Linked DNA regions of Mytilus edulis. The protein of the gene in region 1 purifies or fractionates together with the protein of each later gene. This does not show direct contact. Links are inferred from orthologs where the notes say so. Each region holds a gene or a part of one and is shown in the gene's direction. Other genes may lie near its edges. The genes, in order: cryptochrome-1-like and F-box/LRR-repeat protein 15-like.

Region 1 (16,709 bases):
TAGCGATTGTTTGCGTTTCTTAAACAGGCTTGTGCTCCTAATGTATAATCTGCTCCAACAGGGCTACTTAGATGGACGACTGAATATTTGATACTACGCAAGATTTACGGTCACCCGCCACGTCCTTCTGTGTTTTTGTAAGCAATTTTTCTGCTTTGTACCGATTTTAATGAGTTAAGCCACTTCAGACTGGTGATATACTGTTTTGTCTCAACTCCATGAACTCACTAGTGGGATGAGTTATTGATCTCAGGTATAATAGTATGAATAGTCGATTGTGTCCTGTTCTCAGTCGTGACAATCTGAAGGAGGCGGCTTCATATGACCGGTGATATATGCATAACAGGAGACGCGTTTGCCTTTTGACGTACCCAACCTTGCTTTGTTTGAAGTTCATACGATTCCCTCAGTATTTTTAGATAATTTATACTGTTGTATTCTATTTTGATAATAAGAATAGTCGATTGTGTCCTGTTCTTTAGCATATCAATCTAATGGAGGCTGGATTCGTATGACGGGTGATACATGCAAAACAGGAGACAATTGCACTTTTGGCGTATCCGACCTTGCTGAGTTTGAAGTTCATGCGATTCCCTCAGTATTTTTAGATAAGCTACTGCTGACTTTTATTTTTAATTGTTTTATCATCATGTTACATCCAATGATATAAGTTTGACATACTATGCGATAAGGGCTTTGTTCATTATTGAAGGCCGTACGGTGACCTATAGCTGTTATTTTTTGTGTCATTTGGTCTCTTGTGGACAGTTGTCTCATTGGCAATCATACCACATCTTCTTTTTTATATTTGTTATATGAACAGATCACCATCTGATTATTAGAGATATGAATTGTAATATATCGACTGATTTAATTTTTAAAGATAAGGGAGGAGGTCTTTTCAAAAAAAGATACACAGTATTACCAAAATGACAACCTTACTTCAAACGTAATGTTCTTTAATATTTCTTACAGATAAGAACATATTTCCATGTAGTTTAAAGTTTGAAATCTACACAGAACCAAATTTGATAAAAATTAAAATTAACTCACCGTTGGAAAATAGTTTTTAAATCCTTTGTGGATTGTTTTGGAATTCGTAAATCCAAGAATTATGCTACTCGGCCGGATATAATTCTCAAGCGGCGAGCCAGCACCTCTTGGTGAAATCAATCGATCGGAACATGTTCTTTGATTCACCAAGAAGCCTACGGGTGGAAATTAACAACTTATTACAAGATATTGACAACTTAAACAAATTACTAACTTCCTAAATGTATACATTGAATTTTTGTGAGAAATAATATAATCCATGCACAAAATCATGTACACGTGTTTGCATATTCCTTAAAGATACTAGTGCACACATTGGTTGCATGTTTTACATCTTCATTAGTAGAATGCTGTATAAGGAAAAATTGGGTACAGTCAAACCTCAAATCGTGGCTTAGTAAATGACTGACTCTATTTTAATGAATGGTTTCATGATAGGAATATTAACAGATAGATAATTATATGTAGTTCATCATTTTTAAATTATCACAAGAACATTAATTGCATATGAATAATATATTTAAAATGCAAAGTTTTCTTGGGCTTAAACGTTTCAAGGACTTGGATAGAATACAATAAACTGATTCTAATTTTCGAGAAACTTAGATGGACTAGGACGAAAATTGTCCAATCACAGTGCAGCTTTTTCTATGGCTAAGCTTTTGATGAAAAACTTTGATAGTGACAAATGATGACATGGACCAAGTTTACCTGGTAGATGTTTGACATGAAAATCTTTGATAGTGACAACACGCGACTTGGACCAAGTTTTCCTTGTCAAAGAAAACTTAGATCAAGTTTACTTTGGGGCACAGGACGTTTGTGCTTTTTTACCTGTAACACGATAGAATATTTGCGCTTCAAACACTAATAGGGACATTTGCGCCTTAAATTTGGATACACCTGTATCAAATTGATCGGTCATTTTTTCTATAGTTGTTTTCTGTAACCTTGATGAGTTATAATCAATTATTTCATAGTGCATTTCTTCCAACCCCCCCCCCCCCCCCCCCCCCCCCCCCCCCCCCCCCTTAACCCAACCTCAGTGATTTGTGATTTTATATTGTTCACTCTTGTGTTTTGTGTATCGTTGTTTGTCTTTTCGTCTTTTTTCGTTTATGAAATGGCATTTTCAGTTTGTTTTTGACATATGATGTTGAATGTCCGGACAGGGACAGTCTATACTGGTAAGTATAGAAAGTCCCTGGTCCGGACAATCAGGATCTTTCGCCTTACTTTTTTAACTGTTGTACGTACATCCGTCACGTTAAATGAATAATGAATAGATAAAAAACATTTATTAAATGTATGACTTTTCCGAAAACCAAAAAGAGATAAATTAGGTGTAGCATAAAATATTTTCTTGGTCCTGAGACTATTATAATAGCTCGATACACAGAAAATATATGTTCTGCTCTTTGGTCGGGTTGTTGTCTCTTTGACATTCCCCATTTCCATTCTCAATTTTATGACATATATCTATCAATAAAGTAAAGTAAAGTAAAGTAATCTTTATTTAAAGTCGGGTTGCATATATACATAATAACAAAGAACATGAGCTCTTAAAAGAGCTCTTTAACCGACTAAGTCAATAAATCAGCTTTTGACTTATTGGAATAACAGTCTTTGAAAATCAGCAATATGATTCGTGATAGGCATAGGTCAATGTCACCATGTCATTTTATCTGAAAAGAAGGAAAAAAAACAGTAATTGCACTCGCTATAACAAAAGATGAAGTATTCCTTGACGACAACTAAAGTCACGTCGCATACAACGTGATCCTATTGATTTTTAATGCAAAACGCGATCATATCATTAGTATTAATTATTCAACTCATCAGGTAAGAAGGACAGAATTTTCTATCAAGTTAAACTGTAAGTAAAATATCTTTTTTTTAAATAGATAAAAAATTAAATAAATAAAAAGAATTGAGAATTAACAAATACACGTCAAGTAAAATATTTTGTAAATTCGTTTTTTTTTTTATATATATGTATGGAATTTTTAATAGTTATGAAGATATCCTTTAGCTTTATGTTCCGATATAGCTTATGCCTTCTCATTAAATAATTCATAGTTGGTGGCTATGTTAAATGCATCTTATAGAAGATAAAGGTTATAGCAGATTCAGTTTTAAAGTCTACCTCATATCTTGGCCTACATCTAGAAATTGACAATTAAGGTCGGGCGAGAAACAAAACTCCGCAACAAAAGAAATTATTTGTGAACTTTACATTTCTATGTAGCATCATTCTAACAAAGCCCCAGTGCAAATGGAGAATATATCTCCCAGTTGATAAGATAGTCCAGAGCATGCATTTTCTAGCATGATTTCCATGATAGAACGTTGTAGCGATTGAACTGGTAAAGTTGAAAACATCTTTCGAATGTGAAGGACGCTATGATTAGTTTTTGGCCATTGTGGATGATGACGACGGATATTTTCCAACTGTCGAAACCACAACCTCGTCTTCTTTACTGCCTCGGATGTGACCTAATTAGGTTAATCACAGGTTTTGTGTTTACATGAGCAAAACAACGGATGCCACATGTCGGGCGCACATGAGCTCACCTTTGGTTTTTGGATGGGCTCTTGATTCTCGATCTTTAGTTTTATTTGTTGTGGCCGAGTTTGTGTACTGTTGTTTGTCTTATTGCCGTTTTTCGATTATTTTTAGCTAAGTAAACCAATGTAAATATGATGTTTTACTCATATCATCTTTTCGCTGATTATGCCGATGAAAATGTTCTTTGTTAAAATTGAGAATAGAAACGGGGAATATGTCAAACAGACAACAACCAGATCAAAGAGCAGACAACAGCCGAAGGCCATCAATGGGTCTTCAATGCAGCGAGAAACTCTCTCACCCGGAGGTGTGCTTCAGCTGACCCCTACACACAAATGTTTACTAGTTCAGTGATAATGGACGTCATTCTAAACTCTGAAATAGTCGGCTTGTTTTTGCATATGTGTTTTGGGCTCCGCCCTGTTGGGATCGTGGTAACTGGAATTACGATGATCAGTTTAACACCAGTGAAACTTACTGCATATGCGTTATTGCCGCTAAAATAAAATGAAAATCAATAATTAATCAAGAAAAATGAGTACAGTACACTACTAATCATTTGCTGTTAGCGAATATTTTATTCTCATAAACATACATAGTTACAGAGAAATTAGTATACAATTATAATACAATAATAGTGCATGCGTAAATAAATATGGAAAAAGACAGTTCATTTAATTGTGTATGTTAAACACAATTTAACTAACCAGGGATAATACATGTTTAATGAATCTTGCTAGTTTTTCTAATACAATAATATCAGTTGATGAGAATAACTGAATAAATTTTGCAGCATTTGCATTTTTTTTAACAATATTTCGGTAACAATTTTTCCTTTCTGAGCTAAAAAAGTTACAAACTAAAACATAATGGTTTTCATCACCTATTTCATTTGAGTTACATACAATGCAGGTTCTTTCGTCTCTTTGAATTTCATGCCATCTGCCCGATTCAATGGGCAAACAGATGACAGCCACATCTGAATTTACATAAATAATACATAAGATATGAGGGTATTAATGACAAATAACGTTCAAAACAGAATTCCTTCTTAAATATTCTATAACAAATTGTTTTACTTGAATTAAAAATGTCAGACGACCATTCTTGCTTAAAACCACAATTATCAAAAATGCTTTTAACAAATTTCAACCATTTGCTTTCAAAACCATAATTCTCAAAATATACAAACAGCAATTTGTAAAGAATTGACGAGATTTTTTCCTCTTCACCATTTACTAATCTACACTAAAATTTTATCATTCGCATTTTAACTGTAAGCGAGATCGGAAATCGTCCGAGTTCTCCATAAATAATGCTATTTGGCGTTGTCTGCTTTAGGTTTAATATGATCTTGCAAAAACTCAAGTGTACTTTTTCTAAAACATCTAAATTTTCAAAACCCCAGATCTCTGAACTGTAAAGTAATACTGGTGAAATGGCTTTATCGAACATATCTAATTGACGTTCAATTGATAAATTATGTCTTCGACATTTTTTAATAAACTATATATTGCTTTTGTTCCCTGGTCTCTCAAATATTTCTTGTGGTTAAAAAAGATCCACTTTTAGCAAAAAATACACCAAGATACTTGTAGTCTTTGACAATTTCTATTTCTTTATTACAAAAATATTTTTTTTCTTTTTAATTAAGCATACACTTGGTGTCAAGTTTAGAAATAATATCCAATTATTTAGACTGATTACAAAAATATCGCTGTGTAAATCATTTTTGTAATTGTTTTGTACTTTAGGTTGTACTTAGGTGGCCTGAGAAACAAATCTAGAATTTAAAACTGGTATCATATTGTTAAGTCCAAAGAGTATTAGTTAATGTGTATGCTTAAAAAAAGAAAAAAAAATTTGTAATAAAGAAATAGAAATTGTCAAAGACTACAAGTATCTTGGTGTATTTTTTGCTAAAAGTGGATCTTTTTTAACCACAAGAAATATTTGAAAGGCTTGTTTAGGGGGTATCAATATCCCATAGCCCATTAAGTTTTTATCTCAATATCCCGTATCCCTATAATGTTTACCCCTAATATCCCAATAAATATTTTTTACAAATATCCCATATCCCTAAAACTATTTTGAAATATCCCAAAAAATCAATATAAATTCATTTTTTCCCCTCATCATCACAACGTCAACAATTTTGACTCTGGGAAAACAAACTGTGTTAAAGGAAATTTAGTGCATACTTCTAGTGTTAAATAAGAATATACAATGTATGTGTCCAAAAGATGAAGTGTTCCATCTTAGAGCCTTGTATAACAATCTCTTTTTATGTGAGGTTAAACGATAAATTTAGTGTAAGGGGTCTAATTTCGGACTTTTTTTTTTAATTGTTCAAACCGTGATGCATATGACTGTAAAATATAATTTTGATAGCATTCTTCTTTCATTGATAAGAAACTTCATCCTGCACGTTAACCTATGTTGGAAAGAACAGAAGGACTCAACCCTGTCTCTTGTCCGAGATTGGCCTGACATCCAACGGCTGTTTTGCCAGACAAGCTGAGACTGTGGGACGTCAGAGCACGTCCATATCAAAAAGTGGATATTTAGCATGCAAGTTCAATAACTCAAAATTTAACACAAGAAAGCTTTTTGCTAATGTACCTACATTACACTTAACTGTTTCAATATTTTTACAGCAGGCAAAATTTGCACAGCCCTTGTATTGCAAAGAAATAACACAACATTTGACTCTGTGATCTTGAACTTTATGAATTACATAGATCCAAATATTTTTGTTACTTTTTTTTAATTTCCTTCCTCACAACACCAGTAATAGAAGAAAATATATTTATTTACATTGATTATTTAGTAATTATTCTTTATTAACATAGTTTATACAGCGAAATATCTACTTTTTGATATGGGACGTGCTCTGACGTCCCTCGGCCCCAGCTTGTCTTGCAAAACAGCCGTTGCACATCAGAGCAATCTGTGAAACGTGGAGACCTCTGAAGATCCTCGCCACGCCATGTAAAAAATAAGAGGTAAAACACTAGAAAATATCCTGTAATCATATAAAGCATCATAACAAATAAAAACATTGACAACAATAAGTCTTAACTCATCAGATGGGTACATCTAACAAAAATCTATGATTATTTCAAGAAAATTATCAATGCATATGAGCATATAATATAAAAAAAAAGATGTGGTATGATTGCCAATGAGACAACTCTTCACAAGAGACCATATGACACAGAAATTAACCACTATAGGTCACCGTACGACCTTCAACAATGAGCAAAGCTCATACCTCATAGTTAGCTATAAAAAGACCTGAAATGACAAATGTAGAACAATTCAAAAGAGAAAACTAACGGCCTAATTTATGTATAAAAAAATGAACAAAAAACAAATATGTAACACAGCAACAAACGACAACCACTGAATTAAAGACTCCTGATTTTGTACAGGCACATACATACATAATGTGGCGAGGTTAAACATGTTAGCGGGATCCCAACCCTCCCCTTAACCTGGGACAGTCGTGTAACAGTACAACATAAGAACGAACTATAGAAATCAGTTGTCGTTGAAAAAGGCTTAACTCATCAGATGGATAGAAATAGAAATACATCTAACAAAAACAGCCTGAGTGGACGTGACCGAGTACTTGTACATCCCATCAACAAAAAGACACTAAGTGCAGATCTGAGAGTACTTGCAGTTACTGACAGCTAGTTCAAAGCCAATTACAACTAATAAAAAGTAATGCATCTGAGACTAAATTATCAATCATTACACATCCAGCATCCAATGGCACGGTAAACAACATCTCCGTAAAAATGAGGATGTGCTATCCCGTTTGAAATAAATTTTCTACAGGTAGAACCAAACTTCAAAACCAAATCTAGAATTTAGTAAAGATTTGAAGTGATTTGTGGTAACGAAATCCCTGACTTAATATTATTTACCAGTAATACATAGATTTCGTTCATTAAAATCCAAAACGTTACAACAGACACGAGCATAGCGGAGGTGTTGTGATATACAAACACTATAAGATAGTGCCAAAGCAAAAAAAGGAAAATTAACAATAAGGAACGAAGTATGGAAAGCAAACCAAATACTTTTAAAATTATCAGTACATATGAGCATATAAATATCGAAAACAGATCAATACTTTTCGCCTGGGTTTGGATGACTTTTAAATAAAACGACCATTAACTCAATTAAAATCAACAAAGCACTAAAATGACCTTTAACTTTTTTGGGCAATTTTATCAAGTGAGATGTAAATATTTCTGTACTTTACTTTTAAATTCCACTTATTTTTTTCATGTTAAAAATTCAATATCCTTATAAATGCATCAATATCCCATATCCCATTTACTTTTAGGACAAATATCCCATATCCCTAAAATTAAAATGGCAAATATCCCGTATCCCAATATACCCTATATAAGCCTCTTTAATAGGCCAAAGACATTTTGGAACAAGCTCGGTTGTTTTCAATCGGCGCTGAAGGAAAACTTTTCTTTTAATTAATTCCACTTTATAAACATGCGAAAATTTAAACATGCAAATTCAAAAACACTTAACTTTGACACACATGATAAGTATGATGTACTTGAAGATTCATAAGTTCCGACAGACATATAATTACACTGGCGGATCTAGAAATTTTCAGAAGTTGCGTCCCACTGACTGCCTAAGAGGGGGCCCGCTCCAGTCACGCTTCAGTGATTCCCTATATAAGCAACCAAATGTTTTCCCAAAAGGGGGGGGCCTTGCCCCTTGCCCCCCTTAAATCCGCCTTTGATTTTTTTAATAGGCCAAAGACATTTTGGAACAAGCTCGGTTGTTTTCAATCGGCGCTGAAGGAAAACTTTTCTTTTTAATTAATTCCACTCTATAAACATGCGAAAATTTAAGCATGCAAATTCAAAAACAATTAACTTTGACACACATAATAAGTATGATGTACTTGACTCGAGATTCATAAGTTCCGACAGAGACATATAATTACACTGGCGGATCTAGAAATTTTCAGAAGTGGCGTCCCACTGACTGCCTAAGAGGGGGCCCGCTCCAGTCACGCTTCAGTGATTCCCTATATAAGCAACCAAATGTTTTCCCAAAAAAGGGAGCCCTTGCCCCTTGCCTTTCAATCCGCCTCTGAATTATACATGTATGTCTCTGGTTCCGACAAATGTTTCATTAGAGATAAAATTCAACCCCCTACTTTCAATAAATTATTTACATATATCAAGAAAAAAATGAACCTTCTTTTCAACTAATAGAAATCATGAAATACTTAATCCCCCTACATTTTGACCAACCTTTCCCAGGTAAATCATGATAAGTACTTCTCTCAGTGATATTGGAAATTCCGGTTCTGTATATGCATATCTATCTCCGGAGTTGTGTTTGATATTTTAAGCAATTAACCACTTCCTGTTTATTTTTCTTTGGCTTTTCCTTTATTTTTTGTGCTGATTTTCTGATTACAATATATTTGACATGATCGAATGTTATTATCAGACAACAACACGTCAACTAATGTTACAATTATCTGAGTGTATTTTTGGAGTGTAAAGTTCGTAATGTCAAAAGGTTTGGACAGTCCCCTTAAATTAGTTTTATATACATTTTTATTTTTAAGAAAAAAAAAAAAACAAAATGGGATGTTCTTTTGTATTGCAAACTCATTATTTTTTTTTTGGTAGCAAAAATGTTTAAACAGATTTTGTACCACAGGCACTTGTTTCTATCCATGGGAAGGTTGACTATATATTATTTTATTTACTGTAACTACAATTAATGTACATGTAAAACATAGCTCTTTATCCAGCCTTATACAGGTTGGGCTCAAGTCATAATTATTTGGACTAATTTATGGTATGAAATATACAAAAGTGCACCTTTTATGAATCATGTACCTGTGATAAAAATGTTCTACATATATGATAGCAAGTGTTTCTATTACTATTAGCTAAAAATCAAGCTAATTTCAGATCCAATTCCTTTGTTCACCAATTCATACCTTGAACATCAATAATGAGATGTCAAAAATATAAGTTAACCACATGGGCATTTAAATATAATGAATAGAAATTTTCAACAGAAGTGAAAATAATTCAGTTATGGTCAGTAACCATGGTAACATGTACACCTGGAGCATGCAGCTTGATCAAATGATTCCTAAACAATTTATTTTTTTTATTTTTTGAGTTCTAGAAAAAACAACGAATCACTTATTCATGTTGTGCTGTTCCTGAAATACTTTAAGTAATTACATGAATTGAAATAGAAAAGGGAAGTCCCTGTTAAATTGCATTTTTTTTAAGGGTTTTTCCTGAAGACAGGGAATACCCCACTTTTTCTGACTTGAGCCAAACCGGTTCCATGTATAAATGACATCACAAGATAATTTGAAAAAAAAGAGTTCATTGTCTCAAGTTGCAAAAATTGTTCAAGTTGATTAACAAATAACTGAAAGTGTAAATTCATGTTATGTTTTAGGAGATGCTAAGGAGCTGAACATGCCACCACAAGATTTTAATAATCGACATGGGAATGTTTCTGTCCATTGGTTCCGGCATGGTCTACGTCTTCATGACAACCCAGCCCTCTTGGAAGCACTGAAGAATTGTACAGAGTTCTATCCTATATTTATTTTTGATGGAGAAGTTGCAGGTACTTAATAATTTGAGATTTACCTTAAAGTTACCATACATAGTGGGTCTCATTAGGGTCTAAGCGTGACACAGGATTGCCGATTATTTGTTTATAGTGACATGTGAAAGTCAAATTATCATGCCATGAAAACTGGAAATGAAGTCTAGCGGGACACAGGAAATTACCCAAAAAACGAGAATTGCTTACATACATGACATACATAGTGTAAGCAGGATACGGGAATCTGACAAAATTAATTACCTAATATATATGTATTACAAATAAGAAATTTTACCTGCAAAATTGGTCATCCAGAATAGGGGGTGGGTCTGACCTGCAAAATTGGTCAAGGGAATGGAAGGTGGGTTTGACCTACAAAATTGGTCAAGGAAATGGAAGGTGGGTCTGACCTGCTAAATTGGTCAAGGAAATGGAAGGTGACTTGGGTCAGCAAAATTTGTCAGTCAGAAAGAAAGCTAGGTTTCTGGCTTTTACTTGAAAAAGGATTACCAGTATGTTGGTTAGCAAAATTTTGTGTGCAATGGATCACCTACTAACTCATTAAACAGTTGATACAAGGATTTCTAAGCAAGCACAGAATGTTCAAATATATATGGCATTGTATTAAACATCTCAATTCCTAGCATAAATCAAGCAAACACCAGGGATCACCTCAGAAAAAAATTGAATAATTATAATTTAAATCTTTTGCAATACTGGTACTCTTTCTTATTTTTTAATGATAACAAATATTTTTATTCAATCATTTCCTGATATATAAATACCTAAGTAGCCAAGCTTGCATACTTAGGGACCCTGTATTTTAAACAGCCTCAATACTGGTACTTATAAATCCATTGCTCATGATTATTTGTGGGAAAAAAACAAAACAACCAAAACAATTTTTGACAGACCAAATTCAAGTACGTATTTACTATGAACATGATGAAGGTATATGCATAGATGGGACATTGGTTCTACATATTTTTTACTTGGATATTGGCTACAATGTGAGTATTTATGCACTTATAACATCAGTTCATAATTTAAGTATTGAACATTTTTTCAGCAGAAAAGACTGGAATTTTGAAATAATCTGGCCTATAATTGCATTTGAACTTTGGTGGAAAATTGTCTCGGTGCTTATCACATCTCCTTATTTTTATCATGTTTATATTAGAGTTTATCCATTTGATTCTATATTCACATGTGTTACTAATCTTCAACTTAACTTTTTTTAAGGTACCAAGCATGTCGCATTTAATCGAATGCGGTTTTTAATCGAAAGCCTGGAAGATCTAGATAGGAATTTGAGAAAATTTGGTGGTCGACTGTATGTTTTCCATGGTCAGCCTGTGGACATTTTGACCAATCTATTCAAGGTACTTTTAAAAAATAATTATCAAACTATAAACCAATACTTCAAGTTTGTAATTTACATAAAAATGTAGATAATCTAGATTTATAAATATTCATTGAATATATACCAATTTTCACAGATTTCATGAGTACAGCAGAACCACAAATTTGAATCCTTTTAGAATTTCAAATTTTCTAAAGGAATTTATGCAGACTTTGCCAAAACCACAAAATTGAATATTAATGTAAACATGGTACATGTAAATGCAAGTTTTCCTTAACCCACAAAAATAGGTGAATCCACAGTAATTTAAATTGTGTGCTTATTCTTTGAATTTCATCTGATGACCAAGGTTTTACAAACAGCCATATTTGCCAACATGACCTAATGTGAAAGGACAAGGAAAGAAAGGGTTGATTAGGATTAAGGTCCCAATTTTTTTTAACAGAAATAAATGTTATATCAATAATAGTGCAATCATTCTAGAACTATGAACTCTTGTCTAGTATGTGTTAAGCTGCCACAAATTTCAAACACTGTAACATGGTCTTCATCAACAACATTTTTTTACATACCAACCCAAGATCTGATATATATTTATTAGAAACATAAGATATAATTATAACTGTTAAGTTCTTAAAGAAAATGACCAACTGCTCACACTGCTAATAAAGTAAAATTTCCCAGCAGAAAAATTGATTTCCCAGCAGACAATGTGATATATCTTTGTCAATTTTGGAGACAGAATGAATACTGAGGATTTATTTACTTTCACAGATACCAATTTTGGTGGATTGAGGAAACTTGTATTTTCGTGGACATTAAATTTCATGGTTTTGCCTTGAACATTTGAATTCGTGGTTACCCTGTTTTCACAAAATCCACGAAAAGTGGTATCCACCAAAGATTAATGAATCCACAATAGATATTAGTGTTAAAAGACATGTACTCTAATTAAAAAAAACCCAATTAATGTCATGTTGACCTCTGCATATCATTTTTTTTGTTTTTGTGTTGTCTGCTTGAAATGATGTACATGTACATGTATACAACATACACATCATATGAAAAAAAAATTAAATTGTAAATGTGCATCAATTAACCCATTGTATTTTGAAAACCAATGTGCAACAAATGCTACATGATCATCAGATTCTTAGTTTCTGTAAAGTACTGTGTATTCATTTATTTTCCTGAGTATCAATTTTCATGGATTACCAAAGAAAACTGGCATTTTCGTGAATATTTAATTTCATGGTTTTGACAAAGTCTGTAGTCATTCCTTTAGAAAATTTGAAATTCGTTGAAAGTTTAAATTCATGATTCCACTGTACCCATGAAATCCACGAAAATTGATTTCCAACAAATATTTATGATTTCATAATAAAAGTCTAAAAATTTGTTATATTTCTCATTGATGTATTGCTCATATATTTTCTGTTACGAATGGGGTGTAACTTTGCATTTCTCATATATTTTCTGCTAGGAATGGGGTGTGACTTTGCATTTCTCATATATTTTCTGCTAGGAATAGGGTGTAACTTTGACTTTCTCATTTATTTTCTACTAGGAATGGGGTGTGACTTTGCATTTCTCATTTATTATCTGCTAGGAATGGGGTTTAACTTTACATTTCTCATATATTCTCTGCTAGGAATGGGGTGTTACTTTGCATTTCTCATATATTTTCTGCTAGGAATGGGTTGTGACTTTGCATTTCTCATATATTTTCTGCTAGGAATGGGGTGTTACTTTGCATTTCTCATTTTTTATCTGCTAGGAATGGGGTGTGACTTTGCATTTCTCATTTATTTTCTACTAGGAATGGGGTGTGACTTTGCATTTCTCATTTATTTTCTACTAGGAATGGGGTGTGACTTTGCATTTCTCATTTATTTTCTACTAGGAATGGGGTGTGACTTTGCATTTCTCATTTATGTTCTACTAGGAATGGGGTGTGACTTTGCATTTCTCATTTATTTTCTACTAGGAATGGGGTGTGACTTTGCATTTCTCATTTATGTTCTGCTAGGAATGGGGTGTGACTTTGCATTTCTCATTTATTTTCTACTAGGAATGGGGTGTGACTTTGCATTTCTCATTTATTTTCTACTAGGAATGGGTTGTAACTTTGGATTTCTCATTGATTTCCTGCTAGGAATGGGTTGTAACTTTGCATTTGTCATTTATTTTCTGCTAGGAATGGGGTGTGTTACTTTGCATATCTCATTTATTTTCTACTAGGAATGGGGTGTGACAAAACTAACATTTGAGCAGGACCCTGAAGCTGTGTGGAAACAAAGAGATGATGCTGTAAAAGAACTTTGTGAGAAAAAGGAAATAGAATGTGTTGAAAGAGTATCCCATACCCTTTATGAACCAATGAAGTATGTATTGACAATCAAAATAAATTTTTGCAATGTTTTTATTATTGTGAAAATTGCAATGGAATGGTGGTACAATGTAGGTCAATAGTATTTGGTATGCAATTGTATTAGTATTGGCACAACTCATTTCATAATACAGTGAAACCTGTTTAAACCGAACTTCTTTGGGACTTAAGATTTTGTTTGGTTTTGGCCAATGTTCAATTTATCAGGTTCTCAATGCACATAAATTGACATGACGGTACTTACTAACATGTTTAGTTTATACAGCTTTTCTGTTTATACAGGATTTGGTTTAGTCAGGTTTCACTGTAGATGATTTGGCCATGCATGCCATGTCAGTCATAGTCTATTGACTTTGAAACTTTTGCCTAGGTATTTTTTACTTTACATGTACATGTATTAGTTTGTGATATAGGTCAGTTTTAGGGGAACTATTAGTGGTAGGTAAATGATATTTTTTATGCTAATTGCAGATGTACTAACACTGGCACATCTCATTTCCATGGAGATTTTTTGCTTACATGTATATAAAAAATCATAGAAAAGAATAATATCATGCCAGGTCTAATATACATTTTTTTTACAGAATCATAGTATATAGATATTTTATATGCAACTATCTGTTTTATTACCTAATACATACCGAGTCAGTTCTAACAAACTCTTAATAATAAAGCACATGAAAGTAACAACTGTATTTTAAAATTATAATGTGTAAGGAGCGTATACATGTACAACCAATACTTTAGTAATTCAATAAAACAGACATGAAATCAGAGTAATTTAAATGACAAGAAATCATTAAAAGTCAACTCAAAACATTTTGGTAACAATACTCTCTGAGAACATTCACCGACATTTTGATCATAACACTTGGCGTCTGTCGTCCGGAGTCTGTCATCTGGCGTCCGTCATCTGTAAACTTTTACAAAAATCTTCTCCTCTGAAACTACTAAATTTAACCAAACTTGGCCACAATCATCATTGGGGTATCTAGTTTTAAAAATGTGTCCAATGACCCCACCAACCTACCAAGATGGCCACCATGGCTAAAAATAGAACATAGGGGTAAAATGCAGTTTTTATACGACCGCAAAATTTGAAAAAATTTTCGTCGTATATTGCTATCACGTTGGCGTTTTTTGCACTCTAACTTTAGTAAAAGTGAATGGAAATCTATGAAATTTTAACACAAGGTTTATGACCACAAAAGGAAGGTTGGTTTTGATTTTGGGAGTTTTGGTCCCAACAGTTTAGGAATTAGGGGCCAAAAAGGGCCCAAATAAGCATTTTCTTGGTTTTCGCACTATAACTTTAGTTTAAGTTAATAGAAATCTATGAAATTTTGACACAAGGTTTATGACCACAAAAGAACGGTTGGGATTGATTTTGGGAGTTTTGGTTTCAACAGTTTAGGAATTAAGGGGCCAAAAAAGGGCCCAAATAAGCATTATTCTTGGTTTTCGCACAATAACTTTAGTTTAAGTAAATAGAAATCAATGAAATTTAAACACAATATTAATGACTACAAAAGGAAGGTTGGTATTGATTTTGGGAGTTTAGGTCCCAACAGTTTAGGAATTAGGGGCCAAAAAGGGACCCAAATAAGCATTTTTCTTGGTTTTTCGCACCATAACGTTAGTATAAGTAAATAGAAATCTATGAAATTTAAACACAAGGTTTATGACCATAAAAGGAAGGTTGGTATTGATTTTGGGAGTTTTGGTCCCAACATAATAAGGGGCCCAAAGGGTCCAAAATTAAACTTTGTTTGATTTCATCAAAATTGAATAATTGGGGTTCTTTGATATGCCGAATCTAACTGTCATGACTGTGTATGTAGATTCTTAACTTTTGGTCCCGTTTTTAAATTGGTCTACATTAAGGTCCAAAGGGTCCAAAATTAAACTTAGTTTGATTTTGACAAAAAATGAATCAGTTAGGTTCTTTGATATGCTGAATCTAAAAATGTACTTAGATTCTTGATTATTGGCCCAGTAGTTTTCAAGTTGGTCCAAATCGGGGTCCAAAATTAAACTTTGTTTGATTTCATCAAAAATTGAATAAATGGGGTTCTTTGATATACCAAATCTAACTGTGTATGTAGATTCTTCATTTTTGGTCCTGTTTTCAAATTGGTCTACACTAAAGTCCAAAGGGTCCAAAATTAAACTTAGTCTGATTTTAACAAAAATTGAAATCTTGGGGTTCTTTGATATGCTGAATCCAAAAATGTACTTAGATTTTTTTATTATGGGCCCAGTTTTCAAGTTGGTCCAAATCAGGATCTAAAATTATTATATTAAGTATTGTGCAATAGCAAGTCTTTTCAATTGCACAGTATTGCGCAATGGCAAGAAATATCTAATTGCACAATATTGTGAAATAGCAAATTTTTTTTAATTAGAGTTATCTTTCTTTGTTCAGAATAGTAAGCAAAAAATATCTAATTGCAAAATATTGTGCAATAGCAAGATTTTTTTTTAATTGGAGTTATCTTTCTTTGTCCAGAATCAACTTAAATCTTTGTTATATACAATATACAATGTATATTCACTTTTTACTACCAACTGATAAATTAAAATAATCTTTACCATTCAGTGATAACAAGCAGTTTTTTTACATCTTAATATTTTATGATGTATTTAAATGAGTAGTTATTGTTGCAAACTCCATTAGAAATTTTAATTGAGAT
Region 2 (17,007 bases), on another chromosome or scaffold:
CATATATCTTAAAACAGATTTTATGTTCTGTATATGTTTGTATATTCAGTTAGAAGCTCCTTAGAGTTTGTGTTGTATATTTAACTTATGCAGAAATATAAAATATAGGTCATAGTAACCTTAAAATAACTTAACAGTGAAGTGATAGTTCAGATGGCCTCTACTTTCGATTTGGGATTCAACTTCAGTACAAGAAAATAATGCATGTAAAATAAGATTTATAATGTTTTGGTCCAGACGGGAAGCTCCCACAGATATTGAGGCATTGGGCACATTAATAGTTTGGTCCAGACGGGACGCTCACACAGATATTGAGGCATCGGGCACATTAATAGTTTGGTCCAGACGGGAAGCTCACACAGATATTGAGGCATCGGGCATATTAATAGTTTGGTCCAGATCTCCTTTTTTTTTTAAAGTAAATATACTTTGCACTACACATACCTTTTGCATTCACTAAATAACTGCATTAATCTTACAGCTAGTCCAAATAAACCACCGGTTTCTGAAATAAATACTCCAAATTTTAATTAATTCAATACATCATTATTAATTTGATTTGAAGATTAAATATGTCAGAATGAGTGAACTGAACAAATTTAAAGTAAAAAAGTGAAAATGACCTTGATTTTCTGAAAACTTAATCTCATCACTGTTCAAGAATATTAAAGTCATAAGAAATGAGTGACCGGTGAAAAATAATGTTCTTCCAATTCTTGAACCAGTGCATACAAAAATCATAAACTTAGTCTTCTGTGCACAAATTTATCATTTTTTTTCGTGTAAATTTCGTTTAATTGTTGGTTTTTTTTAATCGGTCAGTGTTGTTGTGAAAATATGGCAGGTAATTAAAGTTTGTGTTTTGAAGCCGAAGTTTAACTATTGTCACCTGTTTGTCAACAATCGACAAAAAATCAACAAAAAAGCATGGAAATTAAGCACGTGTTTAACATGTAAATTCAGATAATAGTTTATTTTAAGGACATCCATGCGTATTGTGATCACCAGATTTTTACGAGATGGGTCAGACTGAGGTCACTTTGCATACGGAAAATATGTCGGGGGGAATTGCTTCCTGGAAGGAAGCAATTAAAGTATAGTAAACTTCTTCTAAATATGAATAAATTAAAGAATTTTCTTCAGAAAAAAGTATATGTACATAAGTTTTATAATGAAAACTATCCATTGAGTTATAAAAAAACATATGCATTATTTTTTTTTTATTTGAGGTTTCTTATGACTTTACGAGAATAAGGTCACTAAAATTGACAAATTATGTTTATCATTTTGTTCAGTTTAGTATTCTTCAACATTTCTAAACAAAACATAAATGCATACATCAGAAGTAATGAAATAAAATCTTTAATAAAGTACTTGTGAGAATTGTATGGGTTAGAATGCATTGATTTTGCAATGTGAACTAACAATGCTACATTAAGACAACATTTTAAAATAAAAGTTATCTTCCTTTGTGTATAATTGTAGTTTAATTTGAACTTTCTTTTTCAGAACAGATATATTCATACACAATGAACATCATGCAAACCTTTTTTTGTACATTTATGGTTTAATATATATTCACATACACTTCATTTTGTAACTTAACTTGAATTTCTGAGCATATATCTAATATTAATCATTTGCTAGACATGGGCATGGATATGATCTAAAGAATGCCCTCCTCACTGAATAATGGTGGTAAATCTCTCAAAGGTGAATACAAGGCTTAGAAAATATAGTTATCAAGTTAGTGGCACAAGGGTTTTAAATGCAATTCGTGTCATCTTTCCCTAAAAAATTGGTGTCTCTTTAATAACAGATTATATACTGTAAAGTATGATGATGCAAACACAGTTTTCCTCGTTTGATTGTTCTACATTATCATTTGGGGTGTTTTATATCTGACAATTTGGTACAGGTTTTGCTCAATATGGAGACTGTACTGACCTAATTTTTTTTTTTTTATTTCTGAGGCATTTGGTCTCTTGGGATAAGTTGTCTGAATGGCAATCATACCACATCTTCTTATTTTTATATTTTCTAAAATACTATCAACTAAATTTGACTTACTTCTTATAACCATAGTGTTATATTCCTCCTCTGTAGGGCACACTACAGAATCCCTCCAATATATATCCATACCCTGTCCTCTGTGAAGCTCTAATAACTGCTCTGAAACAAAGTACATAAGTTGTCTTCATCAAGTCTTTATAAATGTTTCTGTTCTTTCATAATAAGAGTTTTGTGAAATAATAGCAAAGTGTTTCTATACAATGACAGTCGATCCAATAGCCCTTTTTGTTCTCAGTTAATGTAATTGGGTTTTTTTAATTCATTGGTGTTGTTTGGTGTAGTGTTCTATATTTGTTTTCTTCTTGCAATCAGCCTTCGATTTAACAAATAAGGGGGGGATCTGCTTTATTTGAATTCTTTTTTTAATTTCTGAATGATTGAACTAGGATTTAGTTTTTTTTTCTTCATTAAATTACAACTAAGCTGGCATGCTCATCCATGTCACAAAAAGGTTTTCAGCTCAAGCTTCTCAACAGAAAGACATGTGAATTAAGTGTTGACTGTTAGAACAGCAATTGTCTATATCCCAAAAATGTCTGCCTATGGGAAAACTCTTTTTGATCTTAAAAAACAAAGGTGGGCAAGATTACAAAATTTTCAAACCAAACAAATTATTTTTTTGGTGTAAAAATTAGCTTTGGTGAAAAATTTTAAGATAAACATTAATTAATCAAAAGCTTGTTTAGATTAGCAACATCATTTCAGAGAAAGATAAAAGTGTTATTTACCATAGGGTTACTTAAAATAAATCAAAAGACATCAGAGCTGTAATTCATTGAGCCAACAAATTGCCAAAAAAAGATTTATCTTCTAAATTCATTGTCTCTTCAACACAATAAAGTTTGTAAAGATTTGTCAAAGAGTAAAAAAATAAATAATGGCAACCAGACTATTGCATGTATTGAATAATCTCTGGTTGGTAATCCTCATTTCTTTATAAAGGAGTAAACATAATTGTTGAATTCAATTTTTCATTTCAAGGGAGATAACAAAATATTAATTGTTTGTCTTTTATTGTTTATAGTGCTTTTATCCATTTAAAACCTAATCATCTCTTTAAACCCAATAAAAAGAGTTTTTATCCATTTAAAAACTTAATCATCTCTTTAAACCTAATAAATCACTTAAACTCAACATATTTTTTAAGTACAAATGCATAAAATGGTAATTATATCTACCAGGTGTGAAAACTATATAAATAGACAAATTCTACAAACAGAACTGATATTAAACCTGTAAATACTTTGGTTGCTTCGGGATGTTCTAACATTAAAACTTTCTGTAGACCCAAGAAATAGATGTAGTTTGCAGAATTGATGGTATGTGCTACTCCATATATGGAATGTGCCACTGAAAAAGATAAATAATCATTTTAAAAAGTTCTCAATATACATTTTTTAAATCTTGAAAGTGTATGTAGGCATCTGTACTTTTGGCTTTATTTCAGTAAATGTAAAAATTCATTGATACAGTTTAAATTATGATTCTTTGTCATGTCGTAGTGTTATGATAATCTATAATGCAACACTCATTGAACTAAAAAACTTTTTTAATTTATAATTTTTTTTATAGTGTTTATATTAAATTAGGGTAAAGTTTCACAGGCACTTGTCTCAGAATTTTTTTCCCCTATATACCTTAATATTCATTTTTTTTTTAAATTTCAGCCAGTCGTGAAATTCTGTTATTGATATTTCTACACAACCGTGTATAACACTGCTACTTTTGTTGTATGAATCATTAGTAGCAGGCCTACCTAAGTATGTCAATTGTAATTATTACGTCTGCAGAAGATCACACAACTTGCAGTAAATGATTAATTATAAAAAATATTTAAGAACAAAATTAGTTTTTGTCTGAATAGAACTTATCACCCATTTAGTAAAATTGTTTAAGATACCATGGAAAAAAACCTAACAAGTGTTATTTGAGGTATGTCAAATAAGTTACATGTTTCTTTTTTTATACACAAATTTTCCCATTACGTCAATGTCATTTAGACTCTCTCTTTACTTTACGAAATTATTACGATTGACATCCTTTGGTAGGATTGCTACGGATGATTCTGACAACAAACGTAGGCATGTGATACACCATTGTGTAGATAAATCAATTAATATTTACGACATAACAAGTTTAAGTGGGGTTGACAACCGATAAATATGCATACAGCGGAAATTTCGACCAGCTGACATTTAAAAAAAATACAAGTTAAGAACTTTGTGTTATATTAAAGTATATAGGGGAAAAAAATTCTGAGACAAGTGCATGAGTAAAGTTACAATAAATTAGCTAACTTAGCCCTGATATGCGCCTGTTCAAAAGAAAGAAAAAAAATGTCTCATCCTATAGGTAGACAATATCTAGTTTTGATGTGCAAACCTTTTACAATGAAGTTGTTTTATTTCCATCATTTCCATCTTTTTGTGTTATAAAGATGGAATGTCTGAAATTAAGAGTCTAATTTAAAAAAAATATTTAACAGTTAATCGAAATGGTCCTAATTTAATTAAAGATCTTGTTTTCTTCAAAATAGCAAAATATTTATCTTATTTTTATGTACCGGGTAATCAGAGGAATGTCATATAAAACAGTGCTTGTTTATTTTATTCATCAAAATGACCAATAACTTTAAATTATAATGACTTGTATTACCTGGTATACCCCTCCTCAGTTTGGAATTATCTTCAATGTCATCTATCCTATGGACAACAAATAAAAGAAATAACATTCAATAGCCAGTTTTGTCATGAGGTATATTCTATAGATTGAAAATTTCACATAATTTGCAAACTATATTGTATATTTAATTTTTGGGGAAAAAAACAACATATGAAGTTGGGTGTCGTGTTTGGCAGGATTGCTGTACTGTCAACTATTTTTGGTAATTTTAGTTATTCTTGTTATGTATAATATGGTGTAGTTTTGAGATACAACAGTGCATTAACATAAAACTGAAAAAAATCAGCTGCTTATCTAATGTACAAATGTTTACCGAAGAACATGAAGAATAAAAAAATACATTGTTTCCATTACAGTATTAACTTACCAATATTGTATTGTTTTCCATTGGCAAACATAAGATAAAATCACCAAGTACCATATATTGAATGACAATATTTTTTTTATTATCAAGATTGTACTTACAATAAACTTGCATTATGTAACATCTGTGTAACTTCTCCAACTATCAGCAATTTGTCTTGTGGTATATTCAACCAACAGTTAAATGCCTGCAAAAAAGGTGTTATTACAATTATAACAAAAATATGCATGCATATGTAACCACAATAGAAATACTTGAAAAACTTTGGCAAAGAAAAAGCAACTTGAAACAAACAACATGAACATTTAAACTGAAAAAAATGCAATGTGATAGATTTACACTACATTGTAGGTTACATTCTTAATTAATATATTAGCTAAAATAAAAGATATTGTCTCTCATTTTGTTTAACCAAAAAATTTGAATACATGTAATGAATAAATTAGGCACTGATCTGTTCATTATGTGAAAGTTCAAGCTCCTTGATCATTCTGTCCAATGAAACAATGATTAATGTTTCAATTGCCTAATACAAAAGTACAACTGTGAACTCTTCTCACTAGAGGTTGCACATCTGTAAATATAGACAATGCAATTTCCCATATGAACTCCTTTTATGACTAAAACTGTTCTGCTTTGACATGTTTGGTAAGAAGTATATCCTAGAATGGATATTTCATATGCACTACTATTTTTTTCCAAGGTCAAAACATAGGGCTGTACAGCATATTTTCAGCATTTATATGCCTCAAACTTTTACTATAATACTTCTATTCTACCCCTCCCTTCACGTTTGGTTTTCCTAACAATTCAATTTGGCACTTTAGAAAATTTGGTGTTTATACTGCTAAAATTCCCAATTTGTGTCTCTATGAAATGAAACATAGTGATCATATCTGAGAAGTGAAAACCAGTAGGTATACAAAACAAAAAATCTATGAATTTTATATCCATTGTTACCCTTGCTTTAAGAATCAATAACTAGAGGCTCTAAAGAGCCTGTGTTGCTCACCTTGGTCTATGTGCATATTAAACAAAGGACACAGATTGATTCATGATAAAATTGTGTTTTGGTGATGGTGATGTGTTTGTAGATATTACTTTACTGAACACTCTTGCTGTTAAAAATATATCTATCTAATAAAGTATTATGCATTGTGCCCAGTAGTTAGAGAGAAAAACATTTTGTAAAATTGACCATTTTGCTCATGTTGACTTACTAGTAGATCTTATTTTGCTGAACATTATTGCTGTTTTAAGTTTATCTCTATCTATAATAATGTTCAAGATAATAACCAAAAACGGCAAAATTTCCATAAAATTACCAATTCAGGGGCGGCAACCTAACAACCAGATGTCCTATTTATCTGAAAATTTCAGGGCAGATAGATCTTGACTTGATAAACAATATTACCCCCATGTCAGATTTGCTCTAAACGCTTTGGTTTCAGAGTTATAAGTCAAAATCTACATTTTACCACCATGTTCTAATTTTAGCCATGGCGGCCATCTTGGTTGGCTGGCCGGGTCATTGACACATTTTTAAAACTAGATACCCCAATGATGATTATGGCCACGTTTAGTTAAATTTGACCCAGTAGTTTCAGAGAAAAAATTTTGGTAAAAGTTAACAGACGACCCCGGACAATGACGACTTCGTTTGCAAGTGATGAGAAAAGCTCACTTGGCCCTTTGGGCCAGGTGAGCTAAAAAAGGAAGATTAATAAATAAAAAAATATATCTGAAAACAGATTACAAGATTACAAATACATGTAGTCTGCTACCCAACAACTTCATAGTGCCAAAGTTTTTTTTTTTAATTCTATCTATATGGATAATTTGGTAAAGATAACTTTACACAATGAAATCTCACAATTTTGGGCAACCATTGATGCTTGTATCCCTTGTGAAGTATGCAGTTGTATTTTCTTTTAAATGCAACAGTGAGTCCTGAAGACCAACCCTTATGGTCAAATGTAGGCCATGGTCAACCATGTACTGATATTAAGCTGAAACTAAAAACTACAAAATAACCTTTAAAAAAAGCTCTATGTCTGTTTGGAAAACTGAAAACTTAATAACACTATTTTTTTTTTTTCTAATTTAAAACATTGACAATAGGTAATTTTGGTCACGTTGGTTCTTTTAGGCAGGTGAGCTGAAAAGAAGTTAGTAGGGTGAGACAACATATAACTGTTCAACATCTTGCCAGTTTAAGTTGTGTTAAATCAAGTTTCTACATGTTTTTTGAATTGTTGTCTTTCCAATTTTTTGTGTTTTTCAGTGTTGTTTGTCTTTCTGATGTTTTATTTCTACTCATTGACAATGTTTATTTCTTACATTTTTTTATTGGATAACTTGTTTGCAAAAAATCACTTTACAAATATAAAATGCATTGATGTAGTAAATCTACTTACAGCTGCAAGTTTAGTACGAACTTGTTTTCCAGGAATCTGACATATATACTTATATGGTTCTCGCAGCATCTGTAAAAAAAAAAGGTCTTTGTACAAGGTTCACCTAGGCATGAATAATTTGAATAACAACATCTCAGTAATGATTAAAAAGTACACTCCAATTTGCATGCCCCAACAGTTTGCTGAGCACATTTAATAGATCACTCCACTTTTTTGGTTGAGTCTTTTTAAATTGCTGTCTTTAGTTTTCTATGTTGTTTTTTTGTGAACTGTTGTTTGTCTTTTTCTTTTTTTGCCATGGTATTGTCAGTTTATTTTCAACTTATGAGTTTGAATGCCCATTTGATATCTTTCACCTCTCTTTTAGTCATAATACATAGCAATGATTAGTTTAATGTCGATAATCACTTGACATATGCTTGATTTCTGCTACAGATAAATACGAAACTGAAGTACCTGGCTTTTAATACAAAACTACACTATTTTTTCAACAACAAATTCAACAAGGCACATATTTTATATGTTATAGCGTGTATCCAATCTTTGTGTCAATACTGACAATACAGCAGTTCAGGGTTACAGTTTTTAGTCGAATCTGTCATGTGACCATGGTGACGTAACCATTGATCACCATGTGACAAAAATGTAGGCATTGTCACTGCACATGTTGAGTAAACAATTGAAAAAGTTTGATTTTATACTTTAAAAAATATTTGGGAAATTAAAAACTTATAATATCATTGAAGATGGTCACCCTTCCTCTATCGTAAGGGAATCAAGATTATGTACTTACAGAACATAAATAATTTCTATGCATGCTATACATGCTATTTGCAACCCTATACCGTATATAGAAGGATGATTAAGAACGTGCTGGAAATTTTTAAAGGGGTCTCATTGGGGGGTATCCCGGATCCCGTCGGTCAAGTTATTGTTTAGTGAGAATCCTGTATCCAGCTTAATTCTTGTTGCCATAATGCGCATGTAATTTCCCATGTCCTGTCAGACTTCGTTTCCCATTTTAACACTGAACGATCTTTTCCGGTGAAATACTTGATTCCAGAAATGAGGTATAACAATTGAATGTGAGACCTGAATAAATCGTAATACTATTTAGCATGTTTAGCAGTTTAGTAATAATAATTTAGATAGGCTGTATATAGTGGGTCTCATTTGGGTCTAAGTGTGACACGGGATTGCCGATTTTTTGTAAGCGTGAAACGTGAAAGTCAAATTATTATGTCGTGAAAATGGGAAATGAGGTCTAGCGGGATCCGGGAAATGACAAATAAAATGAGAATTGCCTACGCACATAGTGTAAGCGGGAAACAGGAATGTGACAAGACAGTAGGCGGGATCCGAGATCGGTTGCCCCCCAAGGCAGTACACCTTATCGCTAATCCCGGCTGACCCCCAATCACTTTTCCATTGTGGGGTCAGATATTTTGTATTGTGACGTCAAAATTTTACGGGAACCTGTGTGATATCCAGTAATGGCAGACAAATAGCGATAAGGTGTATGAGACCCCCTATATAAACAGACGAATAAACAGATAAAATGACAAATACCATTCTGAATACCGATATGTTACCTGTTCTGTTAAATCATCATTATTCTGTTCTTTTGATGTTTCTGAGGACATATTTTTTGAGGATTATGACAAATTTTTTTTTCACACTTTAGTTTTACAATTCCGGATATCCGTAAATTAGCGCTGGTGTACTCCGGTTGATTTTCAATCTACTATTGTATATTCAGAACTTTTCAGATTAGAATGTGTACCAAATATGATGGCATGTAAGAAATCAATAATATACTGAATGTCTTTTTTTCAATTTCAATACGTGTTTCTCCCAAATATAGGTATGACTAACAAATTAAAAGTTTCGTGGTCGTTTCCAGCCAGTTTCCGGATATTGTAAAATTTTGTTTTAAAGTGTTAATAAATTATTACAGTTGATTCTACTTTACTTATTTCTTTCAAAGCACACAAAAATCAATCATATAATGTGATATTTTTCATTAATTTGTTAAAATCCAATTTTATGTGAATCTAAAATTTATATTTAGAATATATATATCAGTTTTAATAAATAGATGAAATCAACACTTTTTATAACTTGTATTTGACAGGTAGTCCATTTGACAGGGTGCTCTATTTGTCTATTGACAATTAGATGATTTTGCTTTTAATCAGAATATCATGCTGATCACATTTCAGTAGTATGTATGCTTTTGTCACACATGTAATTCTGTATAGATCTAACCTGCTGTCAGGTTTTGAAAGGACTAAAGCTTAACATTAATAATCTTTAAAGACATAAAATACAATGTACAGATCCATAATTTGTAGTACATTGTATATATATACATTTTATGTAACTACAGCATGTACAGGTTTAGCTTTCTTGTCAATCTGACCAAAAGTCTATCCTTCACAGTCGTTCTATCCTGAGTTGATCCGACCCAAGAACATGAAGAAAGGCCTCATAATAAGAATATTTTTTTATTTTTCCAATTACGATTTAAATGGCCCTATAGCATGTATAGGCTATTACATGTATAAATGATAGATCCATGTATTACCGCTCAGATTATTAAATTATTTAACACCTTATTTCTGTTCTAATTTTTTATTATATCAACTACAGATAAGATAAGATAAGATAAGATATTTTTATGCCCCACCTACGATAGTAGAGGGGCATTATGTTTTCTGGTCTGTGCGTCCGTTCGTCCGTTCGTTCGTCCGTTCGTTCGTCCGTTCGTCCGTCTGTCCCGCTTCAGGTTAAAGTTTTTGGTCGAGGTAGTTTTTGATGAAGTTGAAGTCCAATCGACTTCAAACTTGGTACACATGTTCCCTATGATATGATCTTTCTAATTTTAATGCCAAATTAGAGATTTTACCCCAATTTCACGGTCAACTGAACATAGAAAATGATAGTGCGAGTGGGGCGTTCGTGTACTGAGGACACATTCTTGTTATTTCCAATTATGGGCCCCAAAGGGCATAAACATTACAACATCAATAATTTTTTCATAATACAATACAAACAATGAGATAAAAAAAAAAAAAAAGTTAAACGAGAACTATTTAAGTTCTTAAAGAATACGTAGATAAAGAATCTATAGTATATGTTGGTTTTTTTTTTAATACTAATGCATTTTATTACAAGTGTGGTTGATATAGATAACAAACAAGCAGCCCAAAAAGAAAAAAAAAGAAAAATAGATATCCACATATGTATAGTACACAAAAAGTTGGATCAATTAAATATATAATAATTAGCCAAAAAGAAAGTAGAAATTAAACATGTCCATGACTCATCCTGTGTCAGCAGCAAATAGGAAAGCATTATGGTTTCCTAAAGGCAGCTGACACCAGGGGACGATACCTTATGGGCCATAGGCATGTAAAATGTGTGTAAATGTCTCTTTCCTACCTGTATCAAAAGCAAACAAGGAAGCATCATAGGTAACTTGAATGCAGTTGATACCAGGGGACGATGCCTCAAGGATATAAGAGAACATTTGAATAAATAATATATCTTAACAATTATTTTTTTTTTTTTTTTAATCGGCTAGTATGTTTGTGATATTCAGATGAATATAATTTTCTATGTCCAATCAAATGTATATACACACATAGATTTCCTTTAACTAATCTTCACTAAGGAAGATGTTTGTATATAAAATTACATATTATTTTAAGTAACTCAACATTTTCTACACTAAATAACCAGATAATTTTGCTTTGACTGTTCATATGATTAAAATAAGAATTATATTGTGCAATACTAGCTAACATACAATTTCTATCATCCTCAAATTTGTTACAATCAAATAGAAAATGAGCCTCATCTTCGACAGTATTGGAAGAACATTTATTATATTCTGTTAATTCGGGGAATACCCTGATATCTACCTAATTCTATTTGTAATCTACGAGAAGATACACGTAATTTAGTAAAACTTCTTCTAAGTTCAAAATTCTTGATCAATGTTAGATATTTTTCAAAACCAAAATTTGTTTTATATAAAAGGTAGGTTTTCAGTTTACTGTCTGAAAATTTATCTATTTGTTTTTTCCAACAGCTAATAAACAATATTGATAGCTTGGTTTGTATATATTTCTTAAATTTGTATAAGGATTCACAAAATGGAGCATTTATGGCATTTGTATAGTCAATACCAAGTATTTTAAAAACAACATTTATTGAACCATACCATGATGTTATATTCATGTGATGTAGTGTCTTTGATTGTGTATATGCCTCTTTTAATAGAGGAAAATTATTACCTAAATTCTCTAATCTATACCAGTACAATAACATTCCTTTTATAATATTAAAATATATTGGAAATCTTCCAAGTTCAGATAACACTGCAGCATTTGTTGTTTTCTTGTGTACCCCAAGTATAAATTTACAAAATTTTATATGAAGTTTCTCACAGGGTAAACCTGAATATAATTTTTCAAAAGATATATCTTCCTTCTTACATTTAGAGGAAAGAGAATTAAACATCCCCCATATTTCGCTACCATATAATAAAATAGGTTTTACAGTGTGGTCAAAAACATGAATACTTGTTTTTACATCAGGATTAAGTGATAAAAGATCTTTCCTTAATTTGAAATGAGCTTTCAGGGATTTTTTGTATAGTTCATTTTGAGCATAACTGAATGAACCAGATGAGCTTAAATATAAACCTAGGTATTTGTATTTTGAAACACATTCCAGATTTATATTCTGAAATGTGAATATCTGTTTTACATGTCTGCCTGCCTTGTTGAAAATCAGCACCTTTGTCTTATTAGTATTCACATTGAGACACCAATCTTTGCAAAATTTATCAAGCATTCCCAGCTTTTCTCGTAGTCCTTCAGCTGATGTAGATAATAAAATAATATCATCAGCATACATTAAACAATGTAGATCTTTGTCATTGACATTAACTGGGTCTCTAGTATCTGACAAATATCTGGGCAAATCATTTATGAATATCTTGAATAAATTCGGACTGAGGTTGTCACCTTGTTTGACTCCAATATCTAATGGGAAAAAATCACTTACTTGATTTTGAATTTTGACACATGATTTGCTAATTTCATACATACTTTTAATAATGTTATAAAAATAAGACCCAGCCCCAATATCTAGTAGTTTAATCTTGATCCCTGTATGTATAACAGTATCAAAAGCCTTCTGAAAATCAACAAAACAGGCAAACAGTCTACCTTCTTTTGAATTACAGTATTTGTTAATAAGACAGTTTAAAATAAACATATGATCTGCAGTTCTGGCTTTCCTTGTGAATCCAATTTGACTATCATGTATTATATTATGTTCCTGAAGAAATTTGTCCAGTCTTAGACTTAATATTCTATTAAAAAGCTTTCCAATTGCACTTGTTATTGTTATTCCTCTATAATTGTTAGGGTCACTTGTATCGTTGCTTTTAAAAATTGGTGTAATATAACCTTCAGCCCAAGATGTTGGGTATATACCTGAAGACAGACAAGTATTAAACATCTGTTGAAAACTTTTTAAAAGGAAAGTCTGTCCATTCTTTATCATATTATTACTAATGTTATCCAAGCCTGATGATTTATTGCATTTTAAGTGTGAAATGGCTTTGGATATTTCAGACTCAGTGATAAAGGAGTCCAACTCGTTGAAACATTTTGAGTTTTCTAACTGTTTCAGTTTTTCACATAGCTCTGTATATCTACTTTGAAATTCACCTTTCAGTTGTGACAACTTTTGGAAATGTGATATCAAAGTTGATGGTTGTACTCCACATTTTTTTTTAGTTTCATTTTTTTCCTGTAGTTCATTAATTAAGTTCCAATACAGTTTTGGATTCTCTTCGTGCAAGGAGTCCAGCTGACTAATCAATGATTGTTTGTATTGTTTGTATTTATATTTCCTTAGTTTGGAGTATTCACGATTCAGTTTATAAAAGTGATTTTTGATAATTGGATCATATGGAAATCTTGAATAAATTTTTCCATAATTAAGCAAGTTAGTTCGAGCTTGTTGTAAACTTGCGTCAAACCACTTTTTGTTTTTTTGTTTGTTTGTGTGTTTTTTTAAAGGTCGTTTAAGTGATAGATTTGCTGCTGATAAAAAGATGTTTGAAAGTTTTGATGATGCGTCATCTACTGATGTCTGAGTAAATTGAATTGTGCTGTTGTTGAATTCTAGTATGTAGTTTTGTAGTGTATCTGAAGAAAGTGTTTCTTGAAATTTTATTGCTGAACAGTCAGTCCAGATATAATTAGGTGTCATATTTTTCAACTGGATTGGAATATCATTTTCTCCAGGAACACAATATTTTGCAGATAATTCCCACTCAAGTTTACAATGACAATCAGATAATGTGGGAATAAATCTGGATACTTTAAAATACAGTACATTTTCAAGAATTTCTTCCGACACAGCAACATAATCAACCACACTTGCACCATTGGGGGTATAGCAAGTAAAATTACCAAATGTATCACCAAGAACTCTGCCATTTAAAATTCTTATTTGTTTACTAATGCAAAAATCCAAAACTTCTTTGCCTCTTTGATCAATTTTTTGGTCTCGACTTTTTCTTGTCATAATGTTTTTGTCAGTAGGGTATGTATCAAAAATTGGAGTAAATTTTGAATCATCGTTTACTATAAAGTCATTTTCAGAGCCTATTCTGGCATTAAAATCTCCACATAACAAAATTTCACCCATTTTTTTATACTGAAAGATATCTTTTTCCATGCATTCAAAAACATCAGAAGAGAGTTCTTGGGTATATTTAGACGTAACAGGGGGGTTGTACAGTACACAAATAAATAGGTCACTTTTAAATCCAAAAAAGGATTTTTCTAATTTAATCCATTGATAATCTGGATTACTGTTAATCAATATTTTGACATGAGGTTTAACGTGACTTTTCTGTAGAATTGCTATACCCCCAAAATGACGGTTATTATTTGATAATTTTCTACATATTGGATGATAATGAAATTTGCCAATATTGTGTATTTGGGAATTATATCCCACATGAGTTTCGACTAAAAAAACAATGTCGTAATTCTCTATATGTTTCAGAAAAAGGGGATCCTCTGCTTTATTCATGCCCTTTGAAAATAAGCCACCTATATTCCAATAACCAAATTTTACAGATGATTGGTTTGATTTTGGCATTTTGGTTGATACAATTAAATCTGGTATAAATAATAGAATAGATTTTCTATCTATAAAAAAAAAAAATAATAAAAATTTGTCTCTAAATAAAAGGAAGAGACAACAAGGAAAATATTCAGAAATGTAAATATTTGAAATAAGTAGATTTATTTAGAGGATAGTTTTTACAATGGTTTTCTAAATACAAATAGTCTATGATATAATGACAGATAATTTCTTTTCTATGTATCCTCTTTTAACTGAATAACTATTAAACTGATTTGGGTTGAATAACCTGATATCCTGGGTTAATTCAAGATCAAAAGTATGATTCAAATGTGAAAACTAAAAATAAAAATGAATAAAATAAAATAAAAAAGGCGAACTTTTATACCTAGCAGAGGTTACATATATATGACCATGTAATAGTGTGACTTCTTCACATAATGGCTGTTTCATTTGAAAAATCTTTTCAAATGAGAATATGAATTTATCAGCCCAAAAAAAAAGAAGAAATATATAAAGTTGTACATGTATATATAAATTATATGTAAATGACTTTAAACATGTTAAAGGAAGTCAACATAATGATATGGTAATATGTATAATATTAAAAAACAAGTTATTCATGATGACCTCTGCCACGTCCACGTCCACGTCCTCTTGTGTTGCGCGATTTGGATCTACCTCTTGAATTTGGCATGGGAATGTTTAAGGCAGTGTGTATTCCACGTTTTAAGTTTGCCGATAGCTGAGACACGCCAGAGTCAGAGAGATGAAATTTATCTTGACTTAGTAGCTCTGCAATTGGGTTTCCATTTCGCAACATATTGCCATGATCAACAAGTAGAACATCTTTATTGTCATCATATATTTGTTTCAACAAGGCATTTATGATTTGTCCATTTGTGTTAAAAATTACACTGTCGAGTCGAGGAGTAGTAAGAGAGATGATGCAACCACTATTTTGCCATTTTTGAAGTGCAAGCTTGACAATATCTTGTATTTCTTCTACACATTGCTGTGGTGATTTTATTTTCAAATCATTCGTCAGGGAATGAAACACTACTAGATTTGGAATTATATCCGATATCTCCAAAATAGCTTGTTTAGTTTCTTCTAAATTGAAAGCAGTAACCTTATTGGTTGTAAATGATGGCGATAGCTTCTCTGCATTGATACGTTTGGTATTGGATGTACCAATTAAAATAATTGTTGGTTTGTTATCAATGTCAAGTTTAGATTTGTCAATATATTTCGTGTCTGCATTAACAAGATGAAAATCTTCAAATCGAGAAATCATTTGGGAGCGGAGAGAGATATTTTCTTCTTGTAATTTCTCCAAGTGTTGAGTATGTCGTTTTAGAGTATCAGTTAGTTTGTCAATTTCTTCATTTTTGGTTTGTAGGCTTACCGATAGAAAGTCGATCTCAGAGTTTGAAGTAGTTAATACCTTTTTCATTTCTGCTCTAGTCTCCTCCAGTATTTGATTGTGACATTTCATTTGATCTTCATGTTGAGCTTTAGTTAACATAATATTGCTTTGCTCGTGTTTTAATTTAACTTCCAAAGTCTGTTTTTCTGTTTGTACGGTTTTATATTTTAATTGTAATGTTGATATCTCATTGTCGTCTTTTCTACCTTTTCCCAAGACTAGAACATCATCATTGCATAGTTTAACAGCAGTTAATACTTTGCTGAAGTTTTCATTGTGACTGTGTTCTATTTTAGCCAGCGTGTCAACTAAATTTAATTCAAGCCTTTGAAAATCATCTTTTTGAGGTTGATCTTCTTGTACTAGTACTGATTTTAACCCAGTCTGGGAGTCAGGTAATACACAAGTGACCTTGTCAACAGGGCATAATTCATTAATGTGTGTATTGTTATTGTCATCATGACATTCGTGTGAAATACATGTATTAGTAGGACTGGTTTGTGATATGTTTGTAAGAACTTTATCAAGAATATCTTTCAGAATTGGAAAATGAATATCCACAAACTCATAATAATGACTGCCTTGTACTCTTATTGTTCCTGTTGTGACAAAAAATGTAATATTAAATTGAAGTTCCCCCTTTTTTAATACTTCAATCATCACAGAATTTCCACTGTTGTTTCGGTTTTCCCATATTTTGGGTTCGTCATACCATTCAATATCATTATCAGGTTCCTTTCCAAGATTGTCATAGAATGTGATGATTTTAGCATGTTCATCATACAAGTTTGGGTCAATTTGCTCGAAAAGGCTTAATTTTGCTTTACCAGTCCTCTTGTTTTGCTTTGATGGGAGAGATGAAA

The links.
Region 2: the proteins of cryptochrome-1-like (region 1) and F-box/LRR-repeat protein 15-like purify together in Drosophila melanogaster (affinity purification with western blotting; 5 studies listed by BioGRID). This does not show direct contact. The link is inferred for Mytilus edulis from reciprocal best matches to the Drosophila melanogaster genes cry and jet.

Annotation. Positions count from the first base shown.
Region 1 is NC_092353.1:49,652,346-49,669,054, forward strand, and holds the start of cryptochrome-1-like, read left to right. Parts: upstream 1-9,032; 5' UTR 9,033-9,189; coding exon 9,190-9,199; intron 9,200-10,108; coding exon 10,109-10,282; intron 10,283-11,506; coding exon 11,507-11,646; intron 11,647-13,868; coding exon 13,869-14,011; intron 14,012-16,709. UniProt on the Drosophila melanogaster protein: Blue light-dependent regulator that is the input of the circadian feedback loop. Has no photolyase activity for cyclobutane pyrimidine dimers or 6-4 photoproducts.
Region 2 is NC_092352.1:36,570,732-36,587,738, forward strand, and holds the start of F-box/LRR-repeat protein 15-like, read left to right. Parts: upstream 1-9,642; 5' UTR 9,643-9,760; exon of another isoform or gene 9,761-9,764; intron 9,765-17,007. Other genes in the region: geranylgeranyl pyrophosphate synthase-like, read right to left, coding at 445-505, 2,071-2,172, 3,307-3,423, 4,729-4,775, 5,221-5,306, 7,537-7,605, 9,129-9,179.